2 linked regions of the Neurospora crassa OR74A genome follow. The protein of the gene in region 2 interacts with the protein of the main gene of each other region in a pairwise test. Links are inferred from orthologs where the notes say so. Each region holds a gene or a part of one and is shown on either strand. Other genes may lie near its edges.

Region 1 (6,941 bases), on a different chromosome or scaffold from region 2:
CGGCCGCAAGACGCAAACCAAAAGCGCGTTGACCCTTAAAGAGGCGGCGGCCGCGCTGCCGGCTTTGAACACGAAGGGCTTGGGAGCCGCGGGAAGTAATCCACTTGCTAAAGGAGCGGCGGCGGCGGCGGCTGCGAATGCGAATGCCGTGACGGGTAAGGAGACCAAGAGTCCGAAGACGCCGGGTGGCGGTGGACCGCCGAAGCCGAAGAGGAGGAAGAGTAAAAATGTCATCACTACCCCCGGTGCGGCTTAGAAGGAGCACGGGGGAGATAAAGCACAACAGAAGAAGAAGAAGAACATGAAGGGTGCGAGGGAGGGCGCCGGCGAGTAACATGGGAGGAACTTGACTTGATGAAGAGATGCATTCAGATAAAACGGCGTCGATTGCACATGATTGGATGGCATTTGGCTTTAGGTACGGCGATTAGATACCCTAGGATGGTGGACAGATTGGTAATGTCCATGATATTTAAACATAGCGAGTATTTGTAGCAACAACGAAGCAGTTTCAGCTCGCCTGATCCATTAGCTTAATGGCACCAAACAGAGACTTTGTGAGGACCACAGATGTACCATATGTTGAAGGAAGTCAACTCTTACAGCGTCACTTCCCCGTAGGCAAAGAACGAAGCTCACATCATCAAACCAAAACGAGAACGTCTATGCAGAAAACCAACAAGCAAAACACATTGATTACTTGAAACCCAGACCTGTCTCCTGAAATCCTTATCTATATAAAACGCCATGGAAAGCCATGTTTTCTACTCAACAACCCACCCTTGCCCGGCCACCTTCCTCTGCTTCACCTTCCTGGCCGGCAATGGCCAGCCCATCCCTCCCTGCCCTTCCGCTCTCAAATACGGCACCACCCAAACCTCCCTCTCCTTCCCATCTTTACTCTCTGACCCCTTAACCTCCTTAATTGGCTTTCCGTACGTAATCAGCGGCGTCCCCTTGGCCAAACTCGCCAGCTGACCCGCCGTCAAGTCCGTCAGCGCATGCATCCTCGTCTTGGCCCGCTTCTGCCCGTCCGCGCCCGTGTTGCCTGCCTTTTGCAGATAGGCGTACACGATGTAGTCCGGGCATTCGTCCACGCTCAAGTGGGCTAAGGGAGACGAGGGGTGGATGTAGACGAGCTTTTCTTCCAGTTCTAGTTTCCTGCCGTCCTCGCCTTCGAGCGGGATCAGGGGCAGGTAAGGAACGTCAATAGCGCGCTTGGGCTTGCGGTACATCTCGGGCGGCATGGGGGCCTTGTCAGCGCGGATGGCGACTTGGTCGATAAAACCCGCGGCAACCATTTGTTTTAGGGCTTGCACCTGTTTTTGCGAGGGGGGGTCAAGCGTGTCGGGCACGGAAAGGTTGGCGAAGGCGGGGATGTTGGCTCTCAGAAGGTCGATGAGCTGTTTTTGGAGTTGTTTGATTTCTTTGAGGACCTTGAAGCGAACAAAGTGGGAGTCGCACCAGGATTCCGTGGGGTCGTGCGCGAACTCGCCGACGACTTGGAGGAGCTTGATGGCGTCGGACTTGTCGTCTAGGTAGCAGAAGTTCTTGTGGACGGCGTTGAAGGCGGCGCGGATCTTGGCGCGGCGGTCGTCAGCAAGGACGTCTTCGGTAGTGCGGAAAGTGACGGCGCGGGAGTCGTCTTCATCATCGGAACCGCCGGCGTTGCTCTTCTTGGCTTCTTGAACGGCGGCGGCGGGGATGGCTTGGTTCTCGGGAATGTAGATCTCGCCGGCTGAGAGACCGGCTACGAGCGCAACGGTGTAGGGAAGGCAGTCGTGGAGATGTCCGATAAGAAGGATGCGAGCGAAGCGGGGAGAGAGCGGGAAGATGGACATGGTAGATCCGATGGGGGTGACTTGGCCAGTTTGGGAGATGGCGTTGAGGTAGGTCAAAAGCTTCTCGGCCTTGATCAAGCTCTCACGCGGTGGCGGCGTGGGGAAGGGGAAGTTGACGACATGCTGGAGGTTCATGGACTTGAGCTGGAGCACAACGCCCTCGATGGGCATGCGAAGCAACTCGGGCTCTGAAAACTCGGGGAAGTCTCTTTCGTAAACGGCCGAGGAGTAGAGTCTCCAGCAGTGTCCCGGACCGGTACGACCGGCACGACCGGCACGCTGCTTTGCGCTGGCCTTGCTGATCCACCCAATCTCGAAACTCTGGACGCCACTGACAGGATCGAACTTTCTCTCCTTCGACCTTCCAGTGTCGAAAACGTACTTGATGCCGGGAATTGTCAAGGATGTTTCAGCGACGTTGGTAGCCAGGATGACGAGACGGTGGCCCTCTGGGGGCGGCTCAAACACCTTCATCTGCTCTTTCGTGGGGAGCAAAGAGAAGAGAGGTAGGATATGCATCTTCAATGGCCCTGTACCAGATTCTTGGTCCTCAATCTCGAACTCCTTGTCTTCCTCCTCGTCCGACGCAATGGAGATATCGTCATCGTCTCTGTCGTTGATGTTACGGTCATCCTCAACGTCGCCAAAGTCGATGTCTTCGACTTCCATGGGTGCCTCCTTCGCAGAAATCCGCACCTTGGTGGTGCTGGCGGTGTTCATACCGCCACCAAAACGCGCCTTCAACCGCTTGCTGAGCTGGGCAATTTCACCCTGACCGGTCATGAACACAAGCATGCCACCAGGGGGCAGTTTCCTGTGGCCCCTGCAAATCTTGCGGAATGCCTCATCAACGTAGTCGTGGTTTGTCTTTTTGGCAAAATGCATGGTAACAGCATGCTCACGGCCTTCTACCTCAATGATGCGAGGAGTGGTGTGGAACAAGTTAGAGTTTTGGGTGAATTCCTCAACCCTGAGGGTGGCGGACATGATGATCAGCTTGAGAGGCTTGATCGTGGGGTCTTCCTCCGCCAACTCTCTCCTAAGCTTGACCACTCTGCTGAGCATCGCAATCAGGATATCGGTATTGACGCTTCTCTCGTGGGCTTCATCAATGATGATGGCAGAGTACTTGCGAAGAGCAATATCGATGGCCGCCTCACGAAGCAAGACACCATCCGTCATGAACTTGATGGCCGTCTTGGAGTCAACGGTGCCTTCGAATCTGATTTGGTAGGAAACCACATGTGAATAGTCTCCCATTTCTTCGCCAACACGCTTCGACATACTGACAGCAGCGACACGTCTCGGCTGGGTGACACCAATCATGCCAGGAGTAGGTCCATCCGGAACACCGTAACCGGACTCGAAGAGGAACTGGGGAACCTGCGTGGTCTTGCCGGAACCGGTGGCACCGCAAATGATGACAATGTCGTTGTCGTGAATGGCCTCCATAATCTTCTGTTCCTCTGCAACAACCGGTAACCTGAAACGAGTTTCCTGGATCTCGGGTGTCCTGGTAACTACCACGGCGAAAGCCTTGCGGGAATCGTTCTTTGTTGGTTGCAGCTCGATAGGCAGAGGCTCTTGTTCGATCGGCCGAGGCGTAAAGTTGGCAGGTTTCGGTATCTCGAGAATGCTTGATTCAGCAGGCTTGTAACCCAAAGCTTCGTTCCTCGCCTGATGCGCCCAAGCCTTGAAGGCTGAAGACTTTGCTTTCTTGTCCTCCTCGGCGTCCTCCATGTCCTCGTCGGATTCTTCCGCAGAATCATCGTCTTCTGAATCATCTTCGGAACCCTCTCCGTTCTCTTCAGATCCATCCTCTTCTCCCGATTCCTCCTCCTCCTCTTCACTGCCTTCTTCCTCGCTGCCTGAACCACTACCCTCAGACTCTTCATCGTCTGAACCCTCTTCGCCCTCCGAACTGAAACCGTCCCATTCTACCACTTCCGGCACAGGAATGACTGCGGGAGCTTGCGATGATGTAAAGTTGTGCTTCGTTTTCACACCTCCTCTCTTTTGTCTCTTGGCAAGTATTGGGCGTCCTGACTCGTCGACCTCTAAGGGGCGCTTGAGACCAGCACCGACAGGTACTGGCAGGCTTGTTGACGATGTCGTCGCTTGTACTGGTGTAGGCTCGCTTGTTTCCGCTGGCGCGCTCCTTGGCTTCTCGGCTGCCGAGTCCTGCTCATCTTCCGAGCCCTCTGAATCCTCGTCGACCGTGGGTTTAGGCTTTGGTACTGGTGCACCTTCCTTCACCTCTCGCTTTTCGTAAAGTTTCTTGGCCGCCTCCTTCTCTGTTATAAGTCCAGCTTTTGCTTCCTTGACAAGCCGGCTGAGCTCCTCCTTTTTGGTCAATTTTGTTTGGCCTAGTGATTTTGTGCTTGAGAATAGGGAGGTGTCGATCTTGTTGGCGGCAAGCTTGGCCAGGAGTTCGCGGTTCTCGTCCTTCTTGAGCTTTGTGTCGATGTACTTTTCGAGTCTCTTGGCCTTCTTGCTGCTGACCTTGACACCCGCAGGCCTCAATTCCTCCCGTAGCTCGGTCTTCTTCTTTTCGGCATCCGTGGTGGTTTCCTGTCCAGGAGCGATCTCGAGGACGTTGGTGTCTTCGGGGTCTTGTGTTCCCTTACTCCTCGACCGCTGGCGATCAAGCTGCTTGCGCTTGCGCTGACGCGGCACGAACTTCCCGTCTATGACAGCCATGTTGTTGTTTTATCGGGTGTGCTCGAGGCGAGCAGTGACGGCAGAAATGAGGGCCGGTGTCGCGACGGCAGAATGCAACGAACTGAAAGTCACCAAGTACCCTGAAGATTTGAAGATTAAATCTTGTCCGCCTGGCAGAATTTCTGCGCTAAATGTGGCACCCCACGTTTTGGGGGCCTGTGAGGGTCCAGGACAGCAACTGAAGTAACCCAGCTACAGTGCGCGTACAGTTTGCTATGTTTCGTGGGTCCATCCTGAACTCTGCAGCCCAGCCCACTCCGGCTCCATCAACAAACATCACGATGGAGTCCCGCGTCTAAACTCTGAATATGAACGCAGTAGAGACATCAGAGAGTACTATCCGACCAGGAGTACAGAAGCCGAAGTTATCCCCCTACGGTCTTATCCTTTGAAACACACGCGGTTTTTCGAGTCTTGCAACTGTCCATACTTCACCACATCCAGAACTCACCATGTCTGAGGACGCAGTCAGGCAAGAGCCATTCCCGTCACCTTCCAGGCAGGCAACTGGGCTTGTCAACGGAGTGGAAACTGAGGTTTCATCAATGAACTTCTCGGACAAGATCATGGTCACCATTTCTCAAGGTGGGCGCCTTGCTCAGTGGGTAGGTTCAAGAGCGCCCGAACGCCATCCCACTTACAGTCTACTAACATACCATGTTCTAGGTCCAAGTACAACTAGCCGCACCTTCTTCCGCGTCAGTAGACATGGCTCTGCCTGGCGCCGGTAGCCTGTTACCATCAGAACATTTAACAGCAACGACTCTTCTTGGAGGTGGAAATGCGGAGAGGGAGACCATGGGCCAGCTTTATGCCAGTCAAATTGCCAGTCTCCTGACTTTGCGCAACCCCAATGAGCAGCGGTCTTTGTTGCTTGGTTTGGGCCTGGAGAAGGTCGACACCACTACTAGTGACTCCTTCTATGACGTGGTCGAGTTGGTACAACAAGTCCTCTAATAGTAAATGTCATGGAGTGAACGATATCTCGCAGTAACAAGTTCGAGTTGAGGCTATCGCGATGAGCAGTTCTGGTGAAGCGGGGAGTAGAAACCAAATGTGTGGTTATCGGGAATGAGCATGTTCGCAACTCGGTGGATGTGGTCGGCTGAGAAGATGTAAGTGAGGGCTGGTCTGTCTTAAGGCAGGTTCTGGGAAGACAGGGGAACGATGGCTGGGCTGCTGGCCAGTTTAATCCTAGAGATGTAGAACACAGAACAATGGAGGGCAGTGAGCCCGATCTTGCAGCAACACAAAAGATGTGTGTCAAACGAAAAGCGACTCCAGGCAGATCGACAATTTCGAGCAAGGATCCAAACAGGATGATAGGATGATAGGATGATGTTGAAGGCAAGAGGGGCTCAAGTGGACGAGCTGAGGGACAAGGCTTAGCCATAGACCCTAACCCTGCTTGATGAAGCGGAAATATGTGGCTTGTCGAGCTGGTAGGCTGGCCTTGGCACACAGCAATTGCAGCGAGAGGAACGGTGTGGCTTGAGTGCGTGGTGCGGCTCAAGCCCGGAGCTTGGACCACCACTTGTGCCCACCAAAAAAAATACACAGCCCTAAATTTGACTTGTACGAGACCCGTGAAGCGTCTCTTAGAAGCATCAACCGACGTCGACAGAACGAGCTTCATCGGCACCACCAGCAGACAACATGGTATGGCAATTGCTGCACGACTATCGCAGGACGAAACGCTGATTCAGTTATTATGTAGCCTACTCGGTTTTCCAAGACAAGAAAGCACCGCGGACATGTAAGCGCCCCCTCGAGCTTTGTCGTCGCCGATTCGACAGATGACTGACTGTAGTGATTTTATAGGTTTCCGCCGGTAAGGGGTATGTCGCCAACCGATCAACCGACCGATAAACACGAACGAGTATTGACAGCATTATTCCAGCCGTGTCGGCAAGCACAGAAAGCATCCAGGGTACGTACCGCCGCTTCTGCAGATTCGAAGGGGGGGAAATATGATGCTAACAATGGGAACAGTGGTCGTGGTATGGCCGGTGGTCAGGTATGCCGATAGAAACTCCAACGACTCGATCTCGAAAACACGCGATACTAACCCGACGATAAGCACCACCACCGTACCAACCTCGATAAGTGTACGCAACCCCGAAAATAAACGGTCGGCGCATGTTGGAGGGCGCATGGTTCAACCTCACTTCTCCGACATGCGACCAGGCCTTGCCCCTCGATATAATGAAAATAAACGCTGACGATGACGGATAGACCACCCTGGTTACTTCGGTAAGGTCGGTATGAGGCACTTCCACCTCCTCCGCAACCACCAGTGGGCCCCCATCCTCAACATTGAGAAGCTCTGGACTCTCGTCCCCGCTGAGGCCCGCGAGAAGTACGTCTCTGGTGCCGCCA
Region 2 (7,038 bases):
ACCACCAAATGTCATTATCTTAACAACGATAATAAGAACTTAAAACCACCTTTTTTTAAAGCGTTGGACTTTCATTCACACGCAGGGGCCTCTCACCGGCCCCCTACACCCCCGGAACTAACCCTAACGCCTAACCCTAACCACTAACCCTAACCACTAATCTAGGTTACCGGGAGGTGACATGTGCCTTGGCCCACACAGGCTGTTTGGAATCGCGCACAGTCGCTTTATCCGGGTCGGCCAAAACCACCTCCAGGGTAACAACGATTGATCGTCCTCCACCAGGTTCCCCATACACACCCATTATGGTTGCGTAACTGGCTCGTCCAGGACAAAAAGAAAAACATGGTCTCCAGAACATGATGTCAACGGCATATTGACAAAACACCTACGAGTTTGTAAGGCTGTAGACACTTGTTGAGAACCATAAATGACCATGAAGACGAATAAAAGAGGTAAAATTAACGAGAGGAAATGTCATGATTCTGGTCTGGGCCGGCTGCAGTCTCTTTCATTTTGTCTCGACCGAGGTTAGGTAGGTACGGTACTCAAGCATTTGCACCGTGGTCCTACCAAGAGAAAACGATCGAGTTGCCACTGGTACAGCTGCAAGACGGCTCCCAACAGCATAGATGGGGTGGGGCGACGGACAGGTGCTCTTGACAAGTCGTGTTGTGAAGACCTGTTGTGGGATGCAGTTTCTCCTCTCACCCTCACATAGAGCCTGCCAGAAGGGAGGCGGATATGGAAAATAGAAAAGAATGAATCGGCCCGTCCGGATTTTCACAAGGAGATCTCCTTCGCTTGACAAATTAGGTAACATCCGGCAACTCAAAAGTATTTCCCGTCCCTCCATCTCGACGTATCTTCCAGCTCTGTAACCAAACAGTGTGCGATTGGCAGTTACATAGTGTGAGCCAACCGAAACTTCTCTCGCGACCTCCTGTACGACTTTGGAAATGTTGCCGTTAACTTGGCCATTCTACTCTAGGTAGGTAGCAGAGATAGATGGTGTGATGCGATTGGACCGAGCAACGCCACTTAGCGATCAAGTTCATGTGTCGTACTATACAGGAGGCCACTGACACTTGATGGGATCCTCGCCGTTCACGACAGCAAGTTAGTGGTTACATAGCAAACATCTTCACCGTGAGGTTCACAGTTATTTCCCGGCGAACATGAAAAAGAGGTCATATTGAGAGCACGCAACGCACGACCATAGAGGCTGGGATCACCAAAGCCACCATCGCCCTCACATTGACCTCGGCAACCGCTAAAGAACATGATACAATTCCCTGGCCTGGGATACGAAGGTCTTGAGTATCACTCGCAGCTCGGCTCGGCGGGACACTCTCCCGCGAGTTGCATTCAATGAAGGCTTAGACGGTCCAGACCCTAATGCAGCACGTCAACGCTGCTGTCGTATTTTGAAAGAATACCTCATGGTCCGTCAAAATTCTCACGGGCGATACCATATGCATAGGGATGTGGCTTGTGAAGGAACTTCAACAAGTGTTATGACTTGCAGCATCTTTCCCCGAAGGTGCGCAAATAACACCCTTACATTTCTACTATGTAATAAGAGCTTTCTCTGCACGTTATCCAGACCATGAAGAAGAGCCGGCTGGGTAAGTAGCCTACCTCTACAGAAAATAGTCCATCAACGTCTGTCGCAGAGATCTCATTACGATGTTGAAAAGAACACGAGAAGCATACTGTAATGTAGCTAGTATGAGGCAAACCTAGCGCTCTTCCTCAATGGGGTTAATCGTTGGTTTAACATTTTACAGTTCTTGCACAATTTAATTACCTTTTACCGTTTGACAAGAAACTTCCAGTTACGACGAAAGTGAAGCGGCGAAAGATACAATAGACTATGTACGAGCTGATGGGATTGATAGGGTAGTCTGGAATTTTAGATAAGGAAGTGCTGATAACAAGCTAGGTGCCTGTGTCGAAACGGCGACTTCACCTATCCAACAGCACTGGAGATCGTTGCGTGATTGCTTACTGAGTTTCCAGTAACTTCAGAGTAACTCGCTAGCGTATGCTATATTTAAAAAAAGGTCATTGTGAATTCATCCCCTCTCTCAAGCTTGATGTCGAGCATCTCCTTTGAGACTGCATGCACTTTGTGGTTTGTTTACTTGACATTGTCATCCGATTATAAGTGTTAAGGCAACCTCGTCTTATAGCGGTGCACCGCCCTGAAGCTTAACAACAAGAGAAGTGGGACCTACTTCCATTTCCAGAGAGCAGAATCACCCATCATTGGTCAATTCACAGCCAGCCCCATAAGCTGGTGCGGGGACGCCTGCCTCCACGCTTCGCCGTTTCCTGGACCTTGGAGAGCGCTATGGCAGAAAAAATTTTGGTCCATCAATATCGCCGGCTGGCAACCAAACATCGTCAGGTCGAACTTTTTTTTGTTTTGGTACGGGCAACGGCAAACACCGACGCCCTGCCATTTCTTAGTCAAGCGTCCATATTGAACCCTCAAGTCAGACACTTGTATGACAAGGCCAGCCTCGATACCCTAGCCTTGATTGATCTTCTTACAGCATTAGTCCAACCCTACCTAAAAAACAGACATGGCAGCTGGCAGCATAACCTCTTCCGTAACCTCGACATCCCAAACAATCACCCACGACCCCTCCACACACAACAGCGTCATGGCCGCTACCCTCGCCGCATCGTCGAGCGGCAGCACCTCTCCTTCGACAATTGCCAACAACCCCGTCGTCGCCTCCTTCCTCTCGGCCCTGGCCGACGAGTCCAACCGCCACGTCTTCCTGCAGCCGCCCTCGACCCTTCCCGCCGGATCCCTCCTGCTCGCCAAGGAGACCCTCGACGCGCTCGCCTCGCAGGTCAGTGACCACCAGCAGGCAAAGCTGAAAGAGATCGCGGCCACCATCGGTGGAAAGAAGCGCAAGCGTGAGGCTGGCTATGACAAGAATGCCGTGCTCAAGATTCGCAAGCTGCACGTCGACGACGGCTTCGAGACGGAGCAGATTTGGCAGCAGGCCAAGAAGATCATTGCCAGCGCCACAAAGGAGGCTGGCGATGTGCTGAAGGAGCTGGAGGAGAACGGGATTGTGGGCACCGGCGAGGAACAAGAGAAGACCATTGAGTTTGGAGAGGATGGGTTTGAGCTTGGTTCTGATGAGGAGGAGGAGGACGATGAGGAGGATGCTGATAGCGAATCTGGTTCTGGCTCTGAAGGAGAAGAGGATGAGGAGGATGACGAAGAAGAATTAGAAGGAGAAGAGGGCAGCCAGATCGACGACGATGAAGAAATCGAGATCGATGGCGAAGAGGTTGAATTCTCGGACGAAGATGGAGAAGGAGAGTTTGATGAGGAGGAGGAGGAAGAAGAAGAAGAAGAAGAAGAAGAAGAAGAGGAAGAGGATGCGCCAGAACTTGTCGAGGATCCCAACGGCCTCAACGACGGCTTCTTCTCAATAGACGACTTCAACCGGCAGACACAGTTGTGGGAGGACGCGGATGCCCGTGCGGACCCCAACGTCGATGCCGACAGCGACGACGAACAGCTAGACTGGCACGCCGATCCTTTCGCGACAAAGCCAAAATCAAAGAAGGGCAAGAGCGACAAGAAGAAGGACGAAGACCAGGATGAGGACGACGTCGACATGGGCGATGAATCCGAAGACGACGAGGCCCTCGAGGCTGCTGCCGCCGCCCACGCCAAGAAACTCAAGGGCAAGAAGAACGTGGAGCAGCTCGAGGACGATGGCGACGATCTCGGCCTTACAGATGGTGTTCTCGGTATGGACATGGACCTTACCGCCAACGACATTTACTACAAGGACTTCTTCGCGCCACCTCAAAAGAAGAAGACCGGCAACCAAAGGAAAGGAGGCTATTTCCCCAAGAAACTTGAGCAGCCAGATGAGGCCGATATGGAGAGAGCCGAGAATGATGTGCGCCGCGATCTCTTCGACGACATCTCGGAGAATGAAGATGAAGATAAGCTCTCGGATCTTGATGCTGGTGATCCGAGATCTCGCCGGTCCGCCCACGAGCGCAGACAAGCCAAGATTGCCGAGGAGATCCGCAGGCTCGAGTCTGAGCTAGTTGCCAAGCGCGCCTGGACTCTGTCCGGTGAGGCTTCCGCGCAAGCTCGTCCCATGAACTCGCTCCTGGAGGAAGACCTCGAGTTTGAGCATGTCGGAAAGCCTGTCCCCGTCATTACCGAGGAGGTTTCCGAGACGATTGAGGCGCTCATCAAACGCCGCATTCTTGCCAACGAGTTCGACGAGGTTCTCAGGAGACGTCCTGACACCCTCAATAACCCCAACAACGCGCGCCGCGGTCTCGTTGAGATCGACGACACCAAGGGCAAGCAGTCTCTCGCCGAGATCTACGAGGAGGAGCACATCAAGAAGGCCAACCCGGACGAGTACGTCAGCGCTTCGGACGAGAAGCTCACGCGCGACGAGGCCGAGATCAAGAACATGTGGAAGGACATCTGCGCCAAGCTCGACGCCCTCAGCAGCTGGCACTACAAGCCTAAACCCGCCGCACCCACCATCAGCGTTGTCACCGACGTCGCCACCGTCGCCATGGAGGACGCCATGCCCACCACGGCCCAGGGTGTGTCGGGTGGCGAGAGCACGCTCGCGCCCCAGGAGGTGTACGCCCCCGGCAAGGACTCAGTCGAGAAGGGCGAGGTCGTGGCCAAGAGCGGCCTGCCGATTGCCAAGGAGGAGATGAGCCGCGAGGAGAAGGCTAGGAGACGCAGACGCGAGAAGGAGCGCATCCGCAAGGCCGGCGGCCTGGATGCGAACAAGAACATCAGCAAGGGTGCCCAGGAACGCAAGGAGACGATGAGCCAGCTCAAGAAGGGCGGTGTCAAGGTTATTAACCGGAAGGGTGAGACGGTTGGGTTGGATGGCAAGAAGATCGCGGAGCAGAAGGGTCCTACGTCGAGTGGTGCCTTCAAGCTTTAAAGGTCGGGTTGTTAGACGAGGGATAGACGTAGGAAGAAGATGGATGATACCCTGATGGGTTGGACGGGTGGGCAGTCTTGGCTAAGGGCGATCTGTAAAGGTCTTTTTCTTTTGTATGGAATAGGTACATAATTGGGAGTTCAAAAACTATGCATGAGTTTGTTTTTCATCGGCCGTCAGCCGGTATACAATGCTCAACTGTTCACGTTCAACATTGTCGAAGATGATTCTTGTGTGCCTAATATTATGGAGTCAGTACAACAACTAATCCTGGCCCTCTCCAACCTCATTGCTCTGTTTCCCCTCATGCTTTCCTTCTGTTACCCGTCACTATTCTCCGTGTGATCTTTCCTCCAATTCAGCCCAGATCATAGCGACTCATAACTTGGTACCTACCTCTACCTCCACAGGTCTACAAAGTGAAAAAATGCAAAATCAGTCTAGCTATCCACCCTCAGCCAAATTGGTAACTCTCCATTTTCATTACATCTTATTAGTATTTGGGATTGCCTACCCCTACTACTAGCTTGCCCTTTATCAAAAAAAAAAAAAAAAAAAAAAAAAAAAAAAAAAAAAAAAAAAAAAAAAAAAAAAAAAGAAAAGAAAAGAAAGAAAAAAAATAAAAGGAAAAAAAAAGAAACAAAAAAAAAGGAAAAAGGAAAAAGTTCCCTCTACCTTGTTCAAGGCTATCTGTACCCCGGACCTCAGGTTTTGGTTGATTAAGAAGAAGTGAAGAGAGAAGTGAAGAGAGAAGTGAAGAGAGAAGTGAAGAGAGAAGTGAAGAGAGAAGTGAAGAGAGAAGTGAAAAGGGGATAACCCGAGGCTGAAGAGACCATGAAGAGACAGTTAAGCATGTTGTACACTACCTCTTATTCTGTTTGAAACCGTCTTCTTCGTCCGCCCTAATAAGACCTAGTGCCAGACGAACTGTCCAGACTATGTTTGGTATCATTCTACATCCATCATCCGCGTCCACCTCTGCAATCCACCACTGGCTTCTTGATATAGTTTGTTCATTTTTGGATTTATGAGCATGTACCCAAAATTGAAGGGGTAATCACATAGATATACTAGTTCTGGGGAACAGCTCGTGAGCCATTGACTTCTCGAAGACGGTCCGGAGATGTGAATACATACCCATATACGACAGACCATTTGCAGTCCCCTCTCGATCACGATGACTTGTTTGGGAGGGCCAAGGACATATGTGTTTCGAAAATCTCTCCTTGTTTTCATAGCAAGGATTGGCTACTTGAGTCTCTTATGAGGACTTTACAGTCGAACAATGGGTCGTTTTCTGGCCCTCGTCTCACTTGCCAACTGACTCGAGCATATACAGCAAAAGTACACAGTCACACGTCTTGAAGCAAAACAAAGTACAACTGGCCGACACTTTTCCAGCTCATGATGAGCTTTGAACGGATAAGGGAGAAAAAGCAAGACGCAAACTCTGAGCATAATACATCTTGTCTAATTTCCACTGAAGTTCCTTCTTGTGAGCCGTTGTTCTCGAGCTCTTCCGTTCGTCCATGAAATCTAACCGTGCTGTCTTTCCGGTTTTTACCACCACTCAATCTTCTTCTTTCATCGATCCTTTCTTGGCGCTACCACTCACCCCAAAGTCTAACCCCCCTCCCATGACCACGACAAGCAAGTGCCAAGCAGTAGTAACGCTCTCTACTTGCGATACCACATCCTCGTAATCTTCGTATTCCGCATCTTCCTCTGCAACTGGAAAATGCCATACATGAGCGCTTCACTAGTAGGCGGGCACCCCGGGACGTAGATGTCAACAGGGACAATCCGGTCGCAGCCGCGCACGACGCTGTACGAGTAGTGGTAGTAGCCGCCGCCGTTGGCGCACGAGCCCATGCTGATGACCCAACGCGGATCGGGCATCTGGTCGTACACCTGGCGCAGGGCGGGCGCCATCTTGTTGGTCAGGGTGCCCGCCACAATCATGACGTCCGACTGGCGGGGCGAGGCACGGAAGATGATGCCCAAACGATCTTGATCGTACCGCGGGGTTGAGAGGTGCATCATCTCGACGGCACAGCAGGCGAGGCCG

The links. The genes of interacting proteins can lie anywhere in the genome.
Region 1: the proteins of NCU03952 (region 2) and NCU03808 interact in binary tests that used the Saccharomyces cerevisiae proteins (3 or more experiments, as listed by UniProt). The link is inferred for Neurospora crassa OR74A from reciprocal best matches to the Saccharomyces cerevisiae genes MPP10 and ECM16.

Annotation. Positions count from the first base shown.
Region 1 is NC_026505.1:2,473,234-2,480,174, reverse strand, and holds NCU03808 (pre-mRNA-splicing factor ATP-dependent RNA helicase PRP16), read right to left. Parts: upstream 4,611-6,941; 5' UTR 4,542-4,610; coding exon 765-4,541; 3' UTR 689-764; downstream 1-688. Other genes in the region: NCU03809 (hypothetical protein), read left to right, coding at 1-256; NCU03807 (hypothetical protein), read left to right, coding at 5,015-5,167, 5,229-5,519; cyh-2 (60S ribosomal protein L28), read left to right, coding at 6,219-6,221, 6,280-6,318, 6,384-6,400, 6,463-6,492, 6,555-6,579, 6,643-6,670, 6,798-6,941. UniProt on the Saccharomyces cerevisiae protein: Probable ATP-binding RNA helicase. Required for 18S rRNA synthesis. May play a role in restructuring of the pre-rRNA.
Region 2 is NC_026506.1:2,220,191-2,227,228, forward strand, and holds NCU03952 (U3 small nucleolar ribonucleoprotein Mpp10), read left to right. Parts: upstream 1-2,182; 5' UTR 2,183-2,591; coding exon 2,592-4,970; 3' UTR 4,971-5,423; downstream 5,424-7,038. Other genes in the region: nuo19.3 (mitochondrial NADH-ubiquinone oxidoreductase 20 kDa subunit), read right to left, coding at 6,648-7,038. UniProt on the Saccharomyces cerevisiae protein: Involved in nucleolar processing of pre-18S ribosomal RNA. Required for the early cleavages at sites A0, A1 and A2 during 18S ribosomal pre-RNA processing.